Lytechinus pictus: one gene and its partner. The protein of the gene in region 1 purifies or fractionates together with the protein of each later gene. This does not show direct contact. Links are inferred from orthologs where the notes say so. Each region holds a gene or a part of one and is shown on either strand. Other genes may lie near its edges.

Region 1 (11,107 bases):
GCATTTAAGTCTTGCCTTCTCTTTTTCACCGTAGGGTAGTGTCAGTCGATGTTGTGCCAATAAGATAGATGCTTGCTTGTTAATGGAGTATATTGCTTGACATTTATCATAATCGAGGGATATACTCGTCAGTATATCAGGTGGATTGGATAGGTAGTTGGCGAGGTTCGTTGCTTCCATATTCCAGACCATCCCAATTTGTTGTAGACCTCTTCCTCCAAGATCACGGGGAAGGTACAACCTTTCGATTGCGGCCTTTGGGTGATGTAATCTGTGCATCGTTAATTGCTTTCTGGTCATAACATCTAGGCCACATATATCAGCTAGTCTCCAGTTAACAATACCAAAACTGTATCTAAGCACAGGAATGGCTAGTGTGTTGATCGCTTCAATCTTATTTTTGGCATTCAGTTCGGATTTGAGGATCAGCCTGAGTCTTCTTTTGTATTCTGATGTTGCCTTCTCCTTCATTGTGTTATGGCTAATGACATCGTTCTCAGCTATGCCTAGATATTTATATGTCGAATCATTAGTCAGTTCCTTGATTGATGTTTCCTCATCTTGCACAAACATGTCGCCTGTATTTACCCTCCTTCCTCGTACAAGTGTAACTTTGGCACACTTGTCTATACCAAACGACATCTTGATGTCATCGCTGAAATGTTTAACTACTGCTATCATCTTGTGAAGTTCATCGTCATTTTTTGCAAAGAGTTTGATATCATCCATATATATCAGATGGTTTATTGTCGTAGATACATCTTGCCCTTTGTATCTGTAGCCATAACTCGTAGCGTGTAAGAGAGAGCATACTGGATTATTATTATTATTAATATTATTAATATTAATATTATTATCATTATTATTATTATCATTATCATTATTATTATATAGTAGTGGTAGTAGTAGTAGTAGTAGTAGTAGTTATAGTATTAGGAGTAGTAGTAGTATTAGTAGTAGTATTGTTTGTTCATACATAACTTTCATACATAACTTTAAAAAAAAATCAAGAGAAAGGAATAATTTTATTAGAGTAAAGTTTATTTTTCTATCTAAAAATAGCTGCGTGTCTTGTTACGAGAATATAGCCTTCTTGTGCAGCTTTTATATTTAGTGAAAGACGGTGTTGATAAAATGATATAGAATGGGGTAATCAGAAAAAAGGAGTTTGTGGCACCAAATTCCTACGAAAAATAAATTGTAGTTGCTTGTGCATGAGAGAGCAGATTTGAATAAGAAAATTTGTTATTGTTTTATGGCAAAAATTAGCATTGTAAAGCAAAAATACTAAACTTATATAACATGATATACAAACTCAAGCGAGCCATTTCAAAGACTCATAGTGTCGGGAGCAGTGAAAGGATGTGAAAACATTCAAAATTTGAAGAGTGAAAATGCTGTTTTGGAGCACTCTGACTACAGCTTGAGTAGGATGCTTTGACAGCATTTACTATACATTTTTTTTTCAGTTTTCAAAATTTCGGGGGGGGGGTGGACTACTGAGGGAGAAACGCTCCTGACTGAGGGGGCAATGCCCCCACCCCTGCTGCCACCACTGCCAGTGGTAGATCATTAATAGAGGATAGTTTGGCCCTTATGATTTATGTCAAGCCTTATGTTGTGTTTCCAGATTAAAAGATTAAAAAGGCGAAAAGAATCGCGGACGTACACAGTAAAAACGCTGTTTAAGATTTTATACAACGCTGTTTACTATATGAACCTTACAGTATTTGTTTAACCGATTAAACAATCATGTTTAATTTATTGACAATTAGATATTGAAAATTAAACTATGTTGCTTAAGATTAAAACAGTTGTTTAAACTGTTTAAGCAATTACTGTAAGGTTCATATAGTAGACAGCGTTGTATAAATTTTGTTACTGTGTGCTGATAAAAATTAGATTTTTAGCATGTTGGACGATTTGGACAATGGACCAGATGGCTTTAGACCCTAAACGGAATCAATGATATCAATGGCTACCTCCTCCCACCGTCATTAATTTTTGGTTATCTAGTCATTACAAATTTGAAATTTGATAACATCATAAACAAAAAAGTGAATTTCCGTTCCATCTATACGAGCAGAAATACGTCATACCGTTGCACTTGTGTAAAAAAAACAAAATAATAATAAAGTAAGGAGCACGCATATTTGCCGAATGTTCTGACAGCTTATGTCAGGAATCTTATTCCCAACGTAATTTTAATACATTCACATTTATATATATACAGAGGTCGGTTACTATTCCAAAATGTTCTTAAAATGTCAAATTTTCCGGTCTAGATACCAAAAATGTTCAGCTCGCGCTGCCTTTTAGTTTTACCTGCCTAAAACTGTATATTGCGGACATTATATTGCTCTGTTATCTTGCCATATTTTCATTATTGTAAGTTGGTCTGATGTTCTTTCGCATACCAAAGCCATCTTAAACTGTTAAAAAGTATTGTTTCCTTCAAAATTACGGTACTTATCTTTTCTGCAGACGACAACATAGCATTAGCCTACACCAAAATTAAAAAAAAAATTATTCCCTAAAATTGCTAAAATTAGACGATATCAATGACCTTTAGCAGTGTAATTTTCTGTACAGGTGTTTAAATTCTCAAATTCCACAAAAATTCCATAATACTTTTACACGTGACACATACATTATTTTGATACCCGCTAAAATCCCGGCTCAAACAATCAAATATTTATTCCTAAACATAGAAAAATTATTTTCCAACACAATTATACTGGCCCGAAAAAATTGAAAACTATCTCGGACTACAAAAAAAATCTTTGTCAACAACTAGCTTCAAGTATAAAATGAACAAAAAAATGTTTTTGTCATTTTAATGTATGAATATCTTCATCTTTCCTTTTGACTTTTATTTAACATGATATTATAAACTTGCTGTTGCAGCAATTTTTTTTCATACCTCGTACAATTGGTGTACGCTCTCTTTTTTACTATATAGTTCATGCCCGTCTCCCCGCTCACGTCTCGATCTCTTTCTCGTTCCATTCCCCTCTCATCTTCTCTCTACCCTTTCTATAGCCCTTCTTCTTTTCTTTGTATTGTTCACTGTGTATACTGGCATATCCCGCCACAAACCTTTTCTTTATGCCTTCTGCTGTTAACATAGCATGTACATATTTATATTCATCACGGCAAACTGATTTTTGCATGAATTTATGTTTACAAAAATGTAGAAATTTGTCAATGGAAGAAAATAAATGTTTATTTGAATTTAATTGATTATTGATTTTTTTGTGTGTTTTAGTTCAGCATGTAAAACAAATTCAGCCCGTGCTTAACCCTTGCATCACTTTTAGTCCAACTCCAAATGTTTTGTTAAAATAAAAGTTTGATTTGAATGAAAAGAGAAAAATCAAACAAACGCAACGCTGAAAATTTCATCAGGATGACATCTTAAAATTTGCTTAATTTCGTTAAACAATTTTTCCTGACCGGTATGCAAATGAACATATCGATGAAGTCACCCATTCACAATTTCTATTGTGTTTTTTAGAAGAAATACTTTATTTTTCTCATAAAAGTTTGATTCCTCCCGGATGCCATTTGTTGTAATTTAATTCAATGGATTGTCGCGCCTTATTTTCAAATGTGCAAAAATGTATAGGAATATTGTATAACTTATCAATAAGATATGAAAATAGTGAATAAGTCATCATCTCTTATTTTTAAATCACATGTTGTGCATAGTAACTGTTTTGTAATATGTATGTATACAGAAATATATATATATATATATATATATATATATATATATATATATATATATATATATACATATACATATATATATACATGTATATATATAAAATCTTAAAATGTCATATCTTTCTTATTTTACACCCGATCCTACGAAAATTGTCAGTGTTGAATTTGTTTGATTTTTCTCTTTTTATTCCAATCAAACTTTTATTGCCAAAAGCTTTTATTTGTTTAGGACTTAAAAAAAATATAACAGCATAATCAACAAACACAGTGTAATAACACAAACTGAAAATGATCAGAAGCCCCTTTCATAGATTGTTTATATATACCGTGGTAATATCAAATGATATGATAAATAACACTGAATACAAAAATATGCGACTCAGAGGTAGATGCTAGTTGCTAGACCAGATCCCGGGGGGGGGGGGGGACTTCCATTGACGAGTGGATACCATGCGCGACTATGGGGTCCTGAAAAGCACCCTAAATAAGTATTTTCCATATTCTGATAATGCACCCATTAACAAGTATTGGCGTGTGAAACCCTACCCTTAACAGGTATTGGAAACAAATGGCAAGTATTCCCTGAATTGAACCACTAAACAAGTACAGCGATATTTTAATTGTTAGAAATATGTCACGGACGTCGGTTTACCTACATCATTGGGTTTAGTACGGCCCCACCTCGCTCAAATCGGACTCTTAACACGTAGTCATGTAGTGATGACTGTTGGGGCAAAAAGTACATCCTTCATATAACATTTTAGTCTTTTTACCCTCGCAAAGCTTTCCTAGCGAAATAGATACCCTTTTTCATTATTTTAGTGTTTTGACGTACGTAACGTGCCCTATGTTGAAAAAGACATCCTTTTTACTAGTTTTTTTTTTTTTGGTCGCGCATGGTATCCACTCGTCAATGTAAGCAGGGGCGTAACAGGGTTCGGTGGCCAGGTGGGGGGGGGGGGGGGGCAACAGCCAAAAATTTCCCGGTCATATCATGGTATGAACAGGCGTAATGGTGTTTTGAGGCGACAATTTTGAGAGGGCCAGATATTGCGTATCGGGCAGGATTTTTGTTTTGTTTTTTTAAAGTTGCGAGCGAGCGAGCAAAAATTTTGAATTTTTTCTTACAAAAATCCAATTTTGACATGATATCCAGAGAAAAATATATTTCACCCTTCTCTCTTTCCATTCCCTTTTCTTTTTTGGTCTGTACGCCACTGTAAACAGGATTCTTTTCGGCAGTAGCGTGAAGAGTAAAAAAAGAAACGAGGGGCGTAGTATGGCGCATGTGCTAAAAAGGTGCTTAATATAAGTCCCGAGCGAGCGAAGCGATCGAGAAAAAAATCACCTTTTCATGAGAATCTAACTTTGAGATATTTTTTGACATTATATTCAGTAAATAAAATCATATCCTACACTTTTCCTTTGCTTTTCTTTCCTCCTTTTTTTGTTCTTGGTTGTAGAACTTTTGGGGACCATGGCCCAACCATTCCATAATCATATACGGCAGTGCTTTGCTGTTGGGGACCTTGGCGGAGCCCCCGGAACTTCTTGATATCAAAGCCATTTTAAACCTCGCAGATTGCCGCTATTTTTAATAAAATCGCGGGTATATACATAATATACTCATTTACATAACACATTTACTCATCCCAGTTGCGTAATGAGCCAAATATTTTGAGGGGGCACGATATATATAGCAAAGCGGGAAAATTTGTAAATAGTCGCCAGCGAGCAAAGCGAAGCTGGAAAAAGATGCCTATTGAAATTAGATAACTAATTATGAGACAGATTTTTCCATTATATTCAGCAAATAACACATTTCATTTTTTCCATTCATTCCATTACGTTGTCTCCTATAATTTCTTTTATTTCCTCTTGGGTGTGGAATCAAGACCCCCCCCCCCGCCTGTACGCCAGTGATGGAACGTAAAGCTTAATGTAGGAAGGGTCCCTGCATGGCGTTATAGAGCCATTTGAAGGTTATAGATGAAGAGCCCCTACTTACTGCGTGGGGTCTGGGGCAGAGCCCGGTAGCTCATTATTTTCATGAAAATTATCAAGCCTATAGCAAAATGTTGTATGCAGTCCATCTTTCTTCCCACTCTTTATTTTCAATCCTCGCTAGCCCGGTCGTGTTATTAAGTTTTTTTTTTTTTTTCCCCTATTCTTCGTTTTCCAATTTAGCTTTTGGCTAATTCCATTCTACCTTCATTTCCCGCTTTTGTTTGCCATTTTGTCATCTTTTGATTTATTTCCCTTTCTTACTAATCATGCTGTGGCATTACATAGGCCCATTTCGGAATGATTTGTTCTTTCTCAAATGTTCTTCTTTCGTTTCTTTTCCCGCTTTCCTTTCTTTTCCATTTTTTCTTCGTTTTCTTTTGATCCCTTTCCTTTTCCTCCTTTCCTTTTCCCCTTTCCTTCTTTCCCTTTCGCTTTCTTTTCCATCCCTTTTCTCTTTTTCTCGTTTTTTTTTATTTTCCCGGTGAAATCCGCCAGGGGGGGCAGCTTGCCCCCCTGCCCCCCGCCTGTTACGCCACTGAATGTAAGTGCTCCCCCCCCCCCCCAGGGGGACCAGATATGCGTCTGACTACTAGTAACTGAAATGCGAGAGCAATGATCTGTATTTTTCTAACGAATTAAATATCACGGTCAGTCCGGTGAACTGTAGCCTATAATATACTATAGACGGAGGCTAGGTGAACTGAGGAAGAAGTTGTCGCAGAATTGAAGACAATTAATGGGTCTGAATATCAGACTAGGAGCTGAGCTGGCTGTAATGCATGACAATCCTATCGCTAGTCTGCTGGGCAAACCCTTCGCTCGAGTTAAGGGTCTGAATGTGCAGCCTACTCATGCCTTGTGCACTGAAGGCTCTCTCGCGAAGGACAGCAAGTTTTGTATGTGCTAGTCTTTGCGTGGAGGCACCCTTGTTGATCAAAGTTCCAATGAGGGTCTGGGCCTGCAGACTATCCTATCGCTGCGTTTGGTGATTTTTCTACATGTGGCCGGTCGGTCCCATTTGCATATGCAGTACCGCGTGGTCGTTGCGGCTGTTGAGAATCCACAATCACGAACGAAAAGCTTGCAATTATGTTGGTCCTCTTTGAATCGCCGGCAGGATATGCCATTTTTAAGGTAGATTATTTTGCATATTAGCTACAAATATTACTTTTATGTGAAATCATGTGATAGGTGCATGAAATTAATTGCGTATTGGTGATTATGAAACTATATCATTCTTGTGTCCAGTCCCATTGCCTCACATTTGTGTTGGTTGTAGGTAGATGTAATTTAGATCTGAGACTTGAGAGTGAGACGTGACACTGTAACTTGTTAAGTCATTGACATTGTAAGTACTATAACTAAGTGTAATTACACTTAACCATTGTAATTTAAGTTAGTTGTAACAGTCTAGTTGAGTCCATTCAAACAAGCTGTTAATATTTTTTTGGATAACAAAATCTGCATATTTTCCCCTGTAAATTACTGACACTATAGTATAGGCCCTACTGAAATTTGAATATCTCCGTCAATATTTCAGACGCAGTGCTTGGGGGGGGGGCACTCAGTATATAAGGCATAGTGGGTACGTGTCGCGGAGGGGACCCCAATTTTTACACTCAAATTTCTGTTCCAAGGCATAACATTTTTGTCTTAATTATTGAGAAAAACAAAGAAAGCCGCTCCAAAGCATAGCATTTTCTTATCGTGAAAAAAGAAATCCGCTCCAAAGGCAAAGCTTCGTATATTTTCCGTTACGCCGTTCCGTCTGCATTGATCTGCTACAATGAGCCGCAATTTTGGTGAAAAGCGGCCGCAGAGTGCTGTCCAACTATCGCCTCTGCGCTATTTGATGAGATTCCTTAAGTTCAAGATTTAAAAAAGTCACTGAATTCCCTACATAAAATGGCAGTCTTCGGAGTCTTGAATCAACGACTGCTAAAATAAATGCAATGGTCTGGAACTTGCCACATAGAAATGGGGGTCTCCGGAACTCCTATGACTGCGCCGATCAACCTCGCTGCTCTGAGTAGTTCAAGATGGGCATACACTGGAACGAGAAACCACAAATTTGAGGGTCTCTGGAACGGGGTAAAATAGGAATTGCTTTGGCGTTCTAAATTTGTGATGCTCTGGGGAGCGTTTCATGAAAGGACTTGTCGGACGTTTTATCCGACAAGTCCCATTTTATCCGACAGTTACTATAGTAACAGTGCAGTGCCTCTCAGCCAATCAGAATCAAGGAAAGATGTCAGATCTGAAAATGTTGATGAAATGGTCCCCTGTAATGTAAATTTAGGCTGATATTGCAGAGCGGCCGGTAAACAAACAGTCATACACTCATATATACCGTAAGTAACGGACTATAAACCGCACCCGAGTATTAACCGCACCCCCAACTTTGGACTAAAAAAAAAAAAAAAAAAAAAAAAAAAAAAATCCTTCTCACATATTTGAGGTACGAAGAAACAAAAACTCAGTTAAAGATTTCAAGGTATCCAAAGAGATTACCGGTATGCGAAAATCTGCTGTTCTTGATCAATTCATCTAAATGTTAGCAAGAAAGAAAAGTCCCGACAATATTGGCCACTTACAAGTTACACACTCACCTCACAGTCACAGTGTACACACACACAGCACTGCTGTTCTTACATTGCAAACTTAGATACGGTACCAGCAGTACATCTTATCAAATTATGATGTGTCTTTCCCAGCGTAGGAGGAAGAAACATTCACATTTCTTGCATCACAACCTCACAATCACTTTCAGAATTTGTCTAGCATTCGATGTCTTAGCATGAATTTTGGATACGGGATTACAGGAAGGTTCAAGAAACAAAGAAATTGGCATTTTTTCCAATTGTTATACGGCTTTGTGCCGTCTCTCTCGTTGCGTGGTGTACATGGTATCTTATGAAAAGCAAACGAGAAAGAAAAAATAAGCTGGCGCGAAACGGGACTTTCGCGGCCGGGAGGGGTTAAAATGAATAGCGCCAGCTTAAGTCGCACTATATAGCCACAATACAATGCAAGCTAGCTCTAGCTCTCAGCTGTGACAAAATATTACCGAGTATGCTTGGTTTCTCTTTGAACTTAGCCAGGGTACTTCGCTGCTTTGAATCGAGAATAAAGTCGAAATTAGTGTCATGAAGGTGGGTGCGTTTGTTATGGACAATATTTGATTAAGATCGATTAATAATCGCTTCCCATTACCCGCGGCTCATACCCCTCTAAATGACATTGCCCTGGGCGGCTACCCCCGGCCACTCGATGTGTTGTGAACTTGCAGACGTCTTACATGTTCGGGAGGGGTTACGGCGGGCTGGCTCAGACCCGTCACCGTGGATAAACCGCACCCCCGACTTTTGCTTCTATCTCGCCGAGAAAAAGGTGCGGTTAATAGACCGTTACTTACGGTAATCTATTGGGAAAATGGTCCTACCTTATCACTCTGTCTCTAGCTCCTATCGTCAGGCACACTCACTCATAAAGCGAAGTCCGTACCATCCTTGGGTTGTGTGTAGTACTAGTGCAGTGGTGGTGAGTGAAGATCTATATTGTATTCATATTCCCGCCGGTGGGTCATGTGATTCGCGAATGGAGTGGTGTCTGCTTAAACTACTAGTGATCCCCCCTAACACCATACTTCCCCCACCCTAAAAAAATTGGGTGACCTATTTTCTATATAACTTAATATAACTGAACATACTTAACTTAGCATAAGGTATAACTTAACATAAGGTAACACTAAACATAAAGTATACATCAACATACATTTGTTGTGTTTGTTCTTCCTCTTTTTTGTTTTCTTGATCATATCTTTTTCTTTCTTTTCTTTTTTCTTATTCTTTGATTTCTTTTTTTTTCTTTTTCTTCTTTCGTTTTTCTTTTTCTCTTCTTGATTTTTTCTTCTGTGATCTTTTTTGTTCTTTTTATCTTCTTCTGTAATCTTTTTATTTTCTTCTTTTGTGATCTTTTTCTTTTCTTTCTCTGTGATCTTTTTCTTTTTTCTGACTCTTATTTGTTCATAAACATAAATATAACAAATATATACATCAATATATATACATCATTACCAATCATAAATAATATTCTTACCTTGTCTCTGCCATGATATAAATTAATTAAATAAGATTACTGCGTGTAACTATGTACCAAGGTAAAAATGAATATGTAAAATAATAAATATATGCATGTATACATATAGGATATTGCCAACCACCTAACTTTTCTATTTTATTAATACATTAATATATATACAATAAGGGATGCGTACAAAATAAATTGGGTAATAAATTACAGGTGAAATTATGTCGTAAATTATAGGCATCCATTTTATCTTTCTTGTATTGCATTAAAGTATACTTCATATAAAAAAAAAAATTTGCCTCCGACGAAGATTCTGCTAGGATCGAAAGCTTAGGCCCCTTTTGACTTACTAATTTACTCCATTGGCTCTCATATTAGATAAGCAGCTTTCAGCAGCTTCTTTTTGCCATTCATATAAAATAAATAGATTCGCACAGTGGTAGGCAGAGACAGGTGCAAGAGAGTAGCATTGTCCCTTTATTTGAGGCAATAGAACTCCCTCGTATTAGTCTGCCATAACCAGGATTGATACTCAATTCAAGATGGACACGTTCCATGGGGGCGCTTGCATGAAAACCTTTCGTAGGATGCCTCCCAGAACGGGTCGCTTTCTTGTTTTACAAGTTGCACACCTGGCTTTGCAGATGCGAGTGTCTTCCGACATGCCGTATCGGTAGTACTGAGTGCTACCGATCCCAGCATGCCCTGCTGAAGGAGGATCATGACTAAGCCGAATGATGTAACGTCTCAGTGATTCAGGAATCACCATTACATCACTCTCGTCCTCCATTAAGATAACTCCTTCTTTATAAAGGTAGAAGAGTTCCCTGTTTGTCCACAAAAAATTTCCATTGGGCGGGAGGAGAAACAGAGTCTCTTCAACCGTCTCTTTCTTGTCAACCACTTGCAGAGGGGCTTGAGGAGTTGGTCTCGTTTCTCGTGATTCGTGATCTTGACTAAATTGTCCGAAGGTGGTTCCTCTGCCACCTCACCTGGGTCAACTATTCGGATCTGAAATGAATTGGCTTTGTTGAAGGATATATCTATGCGCATTACAGGGAATGATTCTTCAACAGCCACATTTGGGACCCTTTGTCTTTGACTTAATTTCTTTTTAAGTAGAAGCCTTCTCGACTCCTGTTCCCCTGGGGCCAGCCCTTCAATAGAGTGGCTCCAGGGATCCAGAAGGTGAAGAAGTAGATCAAATTCATGAGTATCCACAATGGGACACATTCTGAAGGTTCTACATCAGGTCCTACAATCAAGACTTATAAGCCTTCCC
Region 2 (11,482 bases), on another chromosome or scaffold:
GCCAAGATCAAACAGATTCCAACAAAAAGAAATTTTTCTACCTTTAGGCGGTAATGAGAGACCTCATAATTTTTAAATTCAATACGTTGCATTCATAAATCTAACCAAATGTCAAATTTAATCAAATTTGGACATCATTCCATGAACTAGATCCTGTGAAAATTGTTGCCCCATTTTTGTGTTGAAAAAGTCAATGGACAAAAATTTGATTTATTTGGCTAAATAAAATTGCAAATTTTCACTTCCAAATCCAGGCTGGACTTTATATGACAAGTAGTTATAAAAGGTATCTGTTCAAATCATTTTATTTTCAGCCCGCGGTACCCTTTTAAAGCAATCACTTGTCAGCATAACTTAAGCGTATGCTCACTCAATAAAATTACATGTGAAAAGTTCCAAAAAGTCATATAGCATGAACAAAGATTGAGTTGTATTAAGTCTAATTTGAGCTATGATAATAAATTATGAGGCCTAAAGGGGGGGGGGGGATCATTTATGTATCGGGAATTCAGAATAAAGGTGACTAAACTTCTAAGTGACAGATTCGATATTTTCAAATAAAATCAGACCAAAATTGAATTGATTTGAGATATAGATAGCATCGTCCATTACTACGGTCAGCCACTATGCTTTATCAACTTTAAAGGAGAATGAAACGCTTGAAACCAGCTGAATCCATATCAAAGAGAAAAATCAAAGAAACATATTGTTGAAAGTTTGAGGAAGATTGAATGAATAATAAGAAAGTTATGAGCATTCGAATATTGAGATCACTAGTGCCATGTAGATCCTCCCAACGGCAATGCGACCAAGATCTGTGATATCACACACGTACAACTCCCTCATTACTTTAGTACTTATTTCACTTATATTCTCACTTTTATAGAGTCTATCACAAGGTGAGGTGTTCTCTTTATGAGATGACAAGTACAGAGGTTTCACAACATTATATCATTGATGAATCGTTTGTCATATGATTAGAATGAGCAAAAAGAGATGTTTTGGGGTATATTTTCAGTGTCCAAATGGGAGAGTTGTACGTGTGTGACATCACAGATCTTGGTCGCATTGCCAATGGGAGGATCTCCATAGCATTAGTGATCTCGACATTCAAATGCTCATAACTCTTTTATTGCTAGTCCTATTTTACTCAAAGTTTTGTTGATCTTATTCTTTGATTTTTCTGCTTTCACAAAAGCTAACTTGCTCCAAGAGTTTCATTCTCCTTTAATGTAAAATGTTTCCTTTTGTAGAGCTGTAGTGTGAACAGGGTTCTTGAATAGTGACATTTTAAATAAATAATTCTTCTTAATCATCATCTTCCGTTAGTCATCGAAATTCCATCGTCTTCCACCATATTCTCTACATTCTTTCCAACATACAAGATTCACTCTTCCATCTCCGTCTTTCATTTTCAATACTCGTGTTCATACATACAATGTACATGTACTTCACTGTAAATAAGCTCTTACTCTCTGATTGGTTCCCTCCCAGCCTTAGGTCCATTAAAGGTCAAGTCTACCCCAGAAATATATTGATTTGAATCAATAGAGAAAAATCAAGTAAGCACAACACTGAAAATTTCATCATCTACATGTATGTCACCAATTTGCTCCGTTCGGACTCCCTGCCAAATGAAGGCAACCCGCTAGCATGCTGTCATCTTGATTTCTGTGCAAATTCAATGTGGTCAAGTTTTTCTGTGCTTGTTTTTTATGTCATTTTGAAGATTGTAAATTTGCGAGAAAGTTCATGAACTTTGAAGAAAAACTACAGATTTCTTTAAATTTTAGTGCATTTTCGGAGATCCCGCTTGTTAAATCTGAGATGAGCTGCCACATACTCTGGAAATATGGAACAGATTCTACATTTTTAAGCCAAAGGGCAAAATTTGACATTTTGACTTTTCAAAGGGGATTTTGGAGTCGAGTAGAAATCAAGACCTTCCTGAGGTGAGTAATAGTGCTGTCTACTTGGAGTGTGTTGTGGCGATTGACTGCTGGATTTTTAAATAAGTTTTGAGTCGACTACCTCAAGTGATGTCCATGTAGGCTAGACTCCATTTCACTACCGCTTATCTATGCTTCACCTACCCGATCATCAAGGTGGTGAACTCGTTCTGATACTCCGAGTGATATATGTGGGATTTTATGGGGGTAAATATAAAACTCATGCAACAACACGATCTTTAAAAACAATAAAAACTAATATTCTTACCTTTCACAAAGTTTCACTTCTTTTCCATGCTTCTTTAATTTCCTGAACGTATTAGTTTACTGCCGATTCCAAAACATCGCAAAGGCAAATTGCGCGGAATTTGCAGCTCAATTCATGAATATTCATGAGGACTATACATCCATATCTGATGCAAATGCAAAATGATCTCGATGTTTAGTCCTACTCATGAATATTCATGAATTGAGCTGCTGATAGAAGCGTGGAAAAGAAGTGAAACTTTGTGAAAAGTAAGAAAATTGATGTAATTTGTTTAGATTTTATGAAAGCCTTTGACAAGGTACCTCACCGTCGACTGCTTGAAAAGGTTTGGTATAAATGAACAGGTGGTTATTCGAGGCATTCCTTGTTGGAAGGAGACAGAGAGTGTGTGTGAATGGCGAGTTCTCAAGTTGGGGACATGTAGATAGCGGAATTTCGCAAGGGAGTGTTCTTGGCCCGTGCTGTTTTTGTTATATATCAATGATCTCCCAGATGTTGTTACTGGAAGTAATGTTTATCTTTTTGCAGATGATACCAAGCTGTTCAAGTATATAAGAGATCAGAATGATTGCAATTCACTCCAGAGAGATCTTGACCATTTGAAATGCGGGTCAGAAAAATGGCTGCTGAAATTCAACCCCAAGAAATGTAGTGTACTCTCTATTGGTATCACGCAGGACCGGCAGGAAGCTTTTGCATACACTTTAATGAATGATGCGCTTGAACATGTCACCTCCGAAAGGGACTTGGGTGTTGTGATTGATGATAAACTCAGCTTTGAAGAGCACATGCAATCGAAGATAAACAAGGCCAACAGGCTTATGGGCTTGATCAGACGAACTTTTGTATATCTAGACAAAAATAACTTTGCATTGTTGTATAAGTCGCTTGTCCGACCACAAGTTGAGTATGCCCATGCTGTGTGGAACCCCGTACTGAAAAAACATATACATGCATTAGAGAACGTACAAAGAAGGGCAACAAAATTAGTCCCTGAATTAAGGAAGCTTTCCTATCCACAACGACTTAAACGATTAAAAATCCCAACTCTGGCGTATCAAAGAGTTAGGGGTGATATGATTGAAACATATAAACACTTTAATAATTATGATCAATGTACAAAACTTAATCTCGAAGAAAAATATCGTGAACATACCAGAGGTCACAGTAAAAAATTGTTCATAACAAGGACAAAGACCCAGAAATATAGGAAGTCTTTTTATGTTAGAATACGTAAGACATGGAATAGCCTAAATAATGAAGTTGTCACTGCCCCAAGTGTGCACAGTTTTGAAGCTGCCCTGGATACATTAGATGCTGGAAAAATGAGCCAAATAAAATATGGCTACGAAGTACGAAAGCCCTGTTCTCGGAAGTGAGCCAGCCATCTTGAGGAAAAACCTAGAACTCAATAGAGGCATAACATGCCTACATTCAGAAACTTCCCAAGGTATCCCTAGGTAATATCAGTTTTTAAAGGTCAAGTTGTTGCATGAGTTTATTCTCCCCCTAAAATCTCACCTTTGTCACTCGGAGTATCAGAGCGAGTGGTCCTACTACTACTAGCTAGACCATGTAGACTAAGTCTAGTAATGGACAGAATTTTTTATTTAGTGTTCACATCGGATCAATCATGGGAAAAAAAACAGAAAAATAAACATTTTTTTTCATCAGAAATACAAATGTACGGACAGGTCTGCAGCTGCATCAGATCACAATCACACAAAAAAATCGAAAACTCAACATGAAAAATACTGTACTTTGTACAAAATCAAAACAAAATACAATTTCATTTTCAAGACAATCAACAGTAGACAAATCAAATTCAAAAGCAAGACCAAATACTTCCAAGATAAAACCTACATTACAGGCCTCATCAACTGTCAACCTTTCGGCGTCGTTACAACTTAAAGGGGAATGAAACCTTTGGAACAAGTGTCTCTTTTCGCTTTTTCTTATGGTGATACAAACTCTTTATCCATGATGTATTCTTTAAAAATCTGTATTACCGGTACATGCTCTCTTATAGAAGAACACACGATCTACTTATAGATGTGATAAAAGAGGCAGTGTTAGTGAAATATATACTAAAGTAATGGGGAGAGTTGTTCACAAGTGACATCACACATCTTTGTCGCATTGCCAATGTGAGGATCTCGTCATAGGCATAGCATTAGTGATCACAATATTCTGAAATGCTCATAATTCATATAACTTTCTCATTATTTGTCTCATTTTTGTTCTCAAACTTTTGTTGATCTGTTTCTTTGATTTTTCTATTTTCACACAAGCTATCTTTGTTCAGAGGTTTCATTTTCCTTTAAGTTACAGGTACATGGTTCGACTTGGTTCGTCATGAAACAGGCCCTAGCCATTAGTCCATTCCCATCATCTGCGTATGCGATTCTCGCCCACGAACATCCCATGTATCTTATCACGTTTTCGTGATTCAGTATTAGAATTGCACACGAGATAAATCGCTGAGCCGAGTTTATCGTATTGCCGTATTATAAATTGGTTGTGCAGGATGCACATTTTCAACAAATAATGCTAAAATAATTAATCAAACATGCGTGAAATGTACCACGAATTCGAAATAAGTATGTAACATACCATATTAGAGAGTTTCTTGGATTGGTTAGGATAGAAAAAGATGAATTTCGGTCCTCTCGGCGTTGCGCTTCACTGAGGCCTAACGAGCTCCACGTGCGTATACTTATGGAAAGCAAATAATGGGGATATCGGATCGATCGGATACGTATATATATATACGTATACATATATATGCATGCGATGTTATGCGCCGCGCTCGTATGCTAAAAACGAAGTCCGAGACAAGTGAGCTGCTGGGCAAACCCTTCACTCGAGTTATAGGGTCTGAATGTGCAGCCTATCCATGTCTTGTGTACTGAAGGCCCTCTCGCTCAGAATTGAAACAGCAAGTTTTGTTTGTGCTAGTCTTTACGTGGAGACGCACTTGCTGATCAATCATGGTCTGTTAAGAGTTAGGTTTAAAAAACAAACAAAAAAATATTCAGAAAAGTGTTATTAATATTGAAGGAGAATTATGTCATGATAATCTAAAGATAGCCAACGAATTTAACAATTATTTCACAACAGTGGCCGATAAATTATCTTGTGAGCTCCCCATTACGGACAGAAATGAGTTTGGGGCCGACAGTCCTAATTAAAAAAAAACTATATAAAAGGTATACAAAGAGGCTGTTTTAATTTTTCTCCTGCCACAGAAAAGTTTGTATTAGATGAATTATCCAAGTTGAAAATATCAAAAAGTATCGGACTTGACTTGGTTCCTGCTAGATTTTTAAAGGATGGTGCAAAAAATGTCTTTATACCTTTAACTAACACTATTAACCTATATATTTCAACTTGTACCTTCCCTGATGAAATGAAAATCGCTAAAGTCACACCACTACACAAAAAGAAAGACAAAACTCATGTTGGGAATTATAGACCTATTAGTGTGTTAAGCATATAGTGTCGAAAATTTTGGAGAAATGCGTGTATTCTCAAATTGAGAAATACTTTAAAGAATACAAAATCATTTATGAATTTCAGTCTGGTTTTAGGAATGGTTATTCTACTGAAACATGTTTAATTCACTTGTTGGATTTTGTTAGGAATGAAATTTCCGAAGGCCGTTATGTTGGGATGGTTCTTCTTGACTTAAAAAAAGCATTCGATACAGTTAATCATGAAATACTCTTAAAGAAATTAGAAGTGATGGGTTTGAATTCAGCATGCTTGAATTGGTTTAGGTCTTACTTGACCAATCGCCGTCAAGTGGTATCCATGCAAAATGTACTTTCATATTCTATGCCTATAAACTGCGGAGTTCCACAGGGGAGCATATTAGGTCCCATTCTTTTTATGTGCTATATCAATGATATGTGTAATTGTGTTAATGAAAGTAAATTACTTTTATATGCAGACGACAGTGTTTTACTCTATTCTGATACAAGTCCTAAGCTGATCGGTGAAAAACTTAGCTTAGAATTATCAAATTGTGTTAAATGGATGACAGATAATAAGCTTAGCTTACATGTTGGTAAGACTGAAAGTATTTTGTTTTGTTCGCGGGGTAAGTCTAAGCATACAGATTATTTCAATATATACTATAACAATCAATTAATTAAGAGACAGAATTCCGTGAAGTATTTAGGCCTGATATTGAATAGTGATCTCTCATGTACATCTATTGTAAAAAAAGCTAATGCTCGCTTGAAATTTCTATATACCGGTACCAAAACTGCATGAATACGAAATCCAGACGCATTTTAAGCTTTTCATTAATACAGTGTTTATTTGATTATGCTAATGCAGCATGGTACTGCAGTCTTGGAAAGGTTGATCAAAAAAAGTGTATAATTATTCAAAATAAGATTGTTAGATTTATTACTTGCTTACACCCAAGAACACATGTTGGGAAGAATGAAGTCGAAAAAGCTGACCTTCTTCGCATAGACCTGAGGTCGCAACAACTTATACTTCACCATGTTCATAAAACTTTCTATTCAAACGAATATCATTACATATCAAAAAAATTTGTTCACATTCAAGAAGGCCGAACAAAATCATGCGGATATATTTAAAGGGGAATCCAGCCTTGGCCATAAAATGTTGTGTTGGGAAGGAGAAAAAATGAATTAAACAGAATGGTGAAAGTTTGAAAGAAATCGGACAAGCAATAAGAAAGTTATAGCTGCTTTAAAATTGAGATCACTAATAGTATGTAGATTTCAAATTGGCAACTGGGTAAGGAAATTATGACAATGGGCAAGGACAACTTTCCCATAGGCCATGTACTTTATTATCAGGGATTTGTGGTTTTCTCCTAAGTACCCATTCCCCTGGGGCAGTTATCTAAATATAACCCAGGTAATATATTGTTTAATGTCCTCATGAAAGAAAAATATAATTTGAAATAAAACTTTTTGAAAAAATGACATTTTAGGCATAATATGTATTGGAGTACATGGAAGAGTAGTCCTTGCCTTACATCACTATGACATCCCATATGCGGCCAATTTGAAGTCTCCATGAATATAGTGATTACCAATATTTACAACTTTTAAAAATTCATAACTTTCTTGTTGTTTGTCCAATATTGTTCAAACTTTCACCTATCAACTTGTCTGAATTTTCCTTTCCTTATAAAAACAAGTTTTTATTTGGGTTGGATTCCCCTTTAAGGTTCAGGGCTGGGGGGGGGGGGGGGTGGGCTGCGTGGGCCTATAATAGCTGTTACAATTGCCAGAGATTTTCTTTTTCGCAACAGGCCTCTGACTTTCATGACCTTGTAGGCCTAATTAAGCTGAAATCGCATTATGTGCAAGCTAGCTTATAAAACCTAAAAATGTGAGGCGTGCCCCTTCTTATGTTTTGTGGTTTTTTTAAGGAGGGGGGTGGGAGGAACTAGGAGAAAAGAGGATAAAGATGGAGAGAAAACAAGAAAGAATGGAGGAATAAGCTATACACGCAGGCGCGGTTCTATATAGACTTAACTTTTTTTACGGGGGGGGGGTCTTCTGGGGGCTTGAAATATTTTTGACGTTGGTTTTTTTCAATACAATAAAAATGGCCTATTGTGGATAGCCTTATACACACCAATTAGCTAGTCACCCTCCTATGAAATTTTCTAATATTGTGCGAGGCAGCATAGCGACCGAGAAAAAAAAATCAAAATGCTTGAGAATTTTTCATCTCATTTATTATGCATTAGGGCCTGATCGGTGTTACAGATGTAGATGAGGACATTTAACGATAGAAAGGGGGGCGGGGGTAGGACTGGATAGGCAGGAAATTGGTTTGTGTTAATTGTTACCCAGTCCTGAGGCGTTTTTTAAACTTTGAACGTAAAAAGGTATAGAACATGGCAGGAGATGGGGTTTTAATATGACACCCCTTAAAAATACGAGGGGATGTGGTGACCAGGGAGAAAATGTTTGAAGCCAAACCTAGAATTTGAAGCACTTATGATCTTTACAAATAATAATGTAATTAAGCCTATATACACCTGCAGCAAATAATACTGAATGGGATACTTATTCAACAAAACGGCCAAATGATATACCCTGCACAACATCCCAGTATAACACAAAAGAATACACATATCCTATGTGGCCTATTGAAGACCAGTCAAATCATTTACATCTAATAATAATAATAATACATTAGATTTGTATAGCACACTTTCCATCTTGATTAGATGCTCTAAGGCGGAGCGCTTTTGATGACCAAAGTCCAAAACACGACAGGTTTTATTCAATTTTATGGCATTTCGTGGTGGGTGAATACATTATGGAGGTTAAGTTGCAAGGCAGTCTACTATATAGCTTAGCTATTGCAGGAGATTATTGATTTCATTAATGTGTTCTTCATTTAGATGATATTTTGCGAGGGAGCGTTTAGCGACCGAGCGAGAAAATTTTTGAATTTGAATATTAAAAACTTTTATTTTAGAGCACTTGACGACATGAATGAAATAATTATATAGGCCTTCGCTTATAGGACCTATATATATATATATATATATATATATATATATATATATATATATATATATATATATAAATATATATATATTTGTTTTCTTTGTGGTCGATTTTTTTTTTTTTTGGGGGGGGGGGGGCTTCAGTCCCAAAACCCGGGGGTCTGGGTCGATCAGTTAAATCATGGAATACGGGGGGAATAACCCCGTTGAGAAACACACCCGGTAGGTCAAGTCCACCCCAGAAAAATATTGATTATTTTAATAACTAGAGAAAAATCAAACTAGCAAAACGCTGAAAATTCCATCAAAATCGGATGTAAAATAAGCCTATGACATTTTAAAGTTTGCTTATTTTTCACAAAACACTAGTGATATGTACAACTCAAATGAGACAGTCGATGATGTCCCTCACTCACTATTTCTTTTGTTTTTTATTGTTTGAATTATACAATATTTCATTCTTTATAGATGATGCTGAAGAGCTGTATAAACCTTAATGAGAAAGAGTGAGTATATATTGTATCATAAATTATGGGGAAGTTCTGGGAGTATACACTGTAGTCTATGTATAAAACATATGGAAATGAAAACAATTCAAAGTATAAGTTTACTCTAATTTTTATCACTTCCCCCATCTGATTATGCTATATTATGATATTATATATATATATATATTTTTTTTAGTGGGGGTGCATATGGAACTCTTACCAAATTTTTAGTGTTATGCGTTAACTGTTAAGCTAACTTGAGAAAGAATATATTCTCTTTGCGTTCAGATCAGACTTCAGTGGCACTTCATATGTGGTGTGAAAACGTCTGCTATTTCAACTAAACTGCCTATAGCTAGTCACGTTTGTGTCGAATTTTAGTTCATATTTACTTTGATTATGGCTTCAGATGACATTTGGAAGTTGGCATACGGAGGAGACCTCTCCGCATTGAGAGTGAAATTATCGGAGAATAATTCGCTGCTCTTGAAATTAGATCAGGTTTGCAAGTATACCAAATTACTTTCACTGTCGTCGATGTGCATGTGTCGCGACTGAACTACACGTAGACGTAGTCCCACTTGTTAGATTCCATGTAATGTTACCGTTTGTGTTTGGCTATTCAGCGCAGCTCAGCTCAGCTGGGAGGCCGAGGCGGAGTTCAACTTGAGCTCGCGGAGCGGAGGGATCAGGAGGAAACTCCGCCGCGCCCGCCGCCGAAGCCTGCTTTGCGTTGGCAGAAAGTATGTCAGGCATGCACTTTGCTCAACATCTCTTGCAATTGTGTAGACAAATGATTCCCGCATGACTCCGCAGCTATATTTTATACTTTATATATAGGTCATACAGAAAGGGAAATATGCTTTTGTGATGATTGATAATTACTTTTTCGCCGCATCCATCTTGGTCTGGTTATGTGTAGTACATAATTCGGAGGCATGCGAAAATAAACTATGCAATATGTCCTGAAATATGACTCAAATTTGCTCGACTGGGCATGTGCGGGCACTCATCTGGCATATACAGTAATGAACAACAGTCAATATTCCATCAACCACAATTGATAGGTATGTGCGAATACGGGCGCATCGCGAGCGCTGGTTTTGGCTGCACGGTTTTCGCGCGGGTTTCGCTGCAAGTGGCATCGCCTCTGTCTGGGAGGCTCATCGAAAATGGGGTTTCATGCGCATGCGCACATAGTTGATGCAATCTCGTGCCTTGATACAGACAGTTGAAAATGTGCTCTTTCTGTACATATAAGTTTCAATGTGGATACTCGCCTGTGAAGTGTGGATATCGGAGCTTGAAAGTTCATCAAATTTTTGGATGCGCAAATGATCGAAATTTTTTAATGGTAAGTAGAACTACGATCCAATTATGTATCTGAATTGTTATAGAATATATTCAAATCAACAAAAAAAATCAAAATTAAAAGATTCTATCGTTGAGCTGTCCAGATATAAGAGACGCGAGCTACCCTTGTCACAGCCGGTCTCTCGGCAGTCGAGCTGCCCGATGCGGTGGGCTCCCGTCCGTCTTTCGGCAGTCGAGCTACCGGTACCCAATGCGGAGGGCTTGGTGACGGGAGCGGTCGATAGTGAGTCGTTCATGCTGGATTGAACTGGATCTAAATTGTTTACTTGATAATATTGTGCCTTTTTCTGAAAATGTCTGTCATTATACCGTAGATTGTTATTCTGATATTGATTTAAATTTATACATTTTGTCACAAAAACATTCTTTCCTCCTAAGGTTATAGAGTCAACATGTTTTACTTTGATTGTTCAATCATGTTTTATCATTTGGAAACTGGATTCTTTTGGAAGTGGAATATTAATGTTGACTTATTAAATTAAAATGCAAAATCTATAGTGTTTCTTTTTTTTCTTTTGTAGAAAAAAAATATATTTTGAAACTTTTCAATCATGTTTCATTATTTTGAGACTGAATTTGCTTTTGAAAGGGGAATATCATAAATGTTGACTTTTTAATTAAAATGCAAAAATTGTTAATTTTTCAGTTTCTTTTTTTATATATTTTTTAAAGTTTCTTTTTTAAATTATTGTATTGTTTATTTTTTCATTTTTGGGGGGTCATATTTCATTATTAGGAGACTGGATTTGCTTTTGAAAGGAGAATATCTTAAATGTTGATTTTTTTTATTAAAATGCACGAACTAGATGTTGTTTATTTTTTTGTTGTAATTTTTTTCACTCTTGTAAGAAAATACATGAAAACTCAGAGGAAAGAATATTTCATTTCC

The links.
Region 2: the proteins of nucleolar protein 58-like (region 1) and NHP2-like protein 1 fractionate together in Homo sapiens (co-fractionation; 3 studies listed by BioGRID and IntAct, with this or other methods). This does not show direct contact. The link is inferred for Lytechinus pictus from reciprocal best matches to the Homo sapiens genes NOP58 and SNU13.

Annotation. Positions count from the first base shown.
Region 1 is NC_087245.1:3,760,063-3,771,169, forward strand, and holds the start of nucleolar protein 58-like, read left to right. Parts: upstream 1-6,740; 5' UTR 6,741-6,825; coding exon 6,826-6,870; intron 6,871-11,107. Other genes in the region: uncharacterized protein LOC135156108, read right to left, coding at 1-642. UniProt on the Homo sapiens protein: Required for the biogenesis of box C/D snoRNAs such as U3, U8 and U14 snoRNAs. Part of the small subunit (SSU) processome, first precursor of the small eukaryotic ribosomal subunit.
Region 2 is NC_087254.1:23,670,422-23,681,903, reverse strand, and holds the start of NHP2-like protein 1, read right to left. Parts: upstream 5,174-11,482; 5' UTR 4,834-5,173; coding exon 4,831-4,833; intron 1-4,830. Other genes in the region: 26S proteasome non-ATPase regulatory subunit 10-like, read left to right, coding at 9,619-9,720.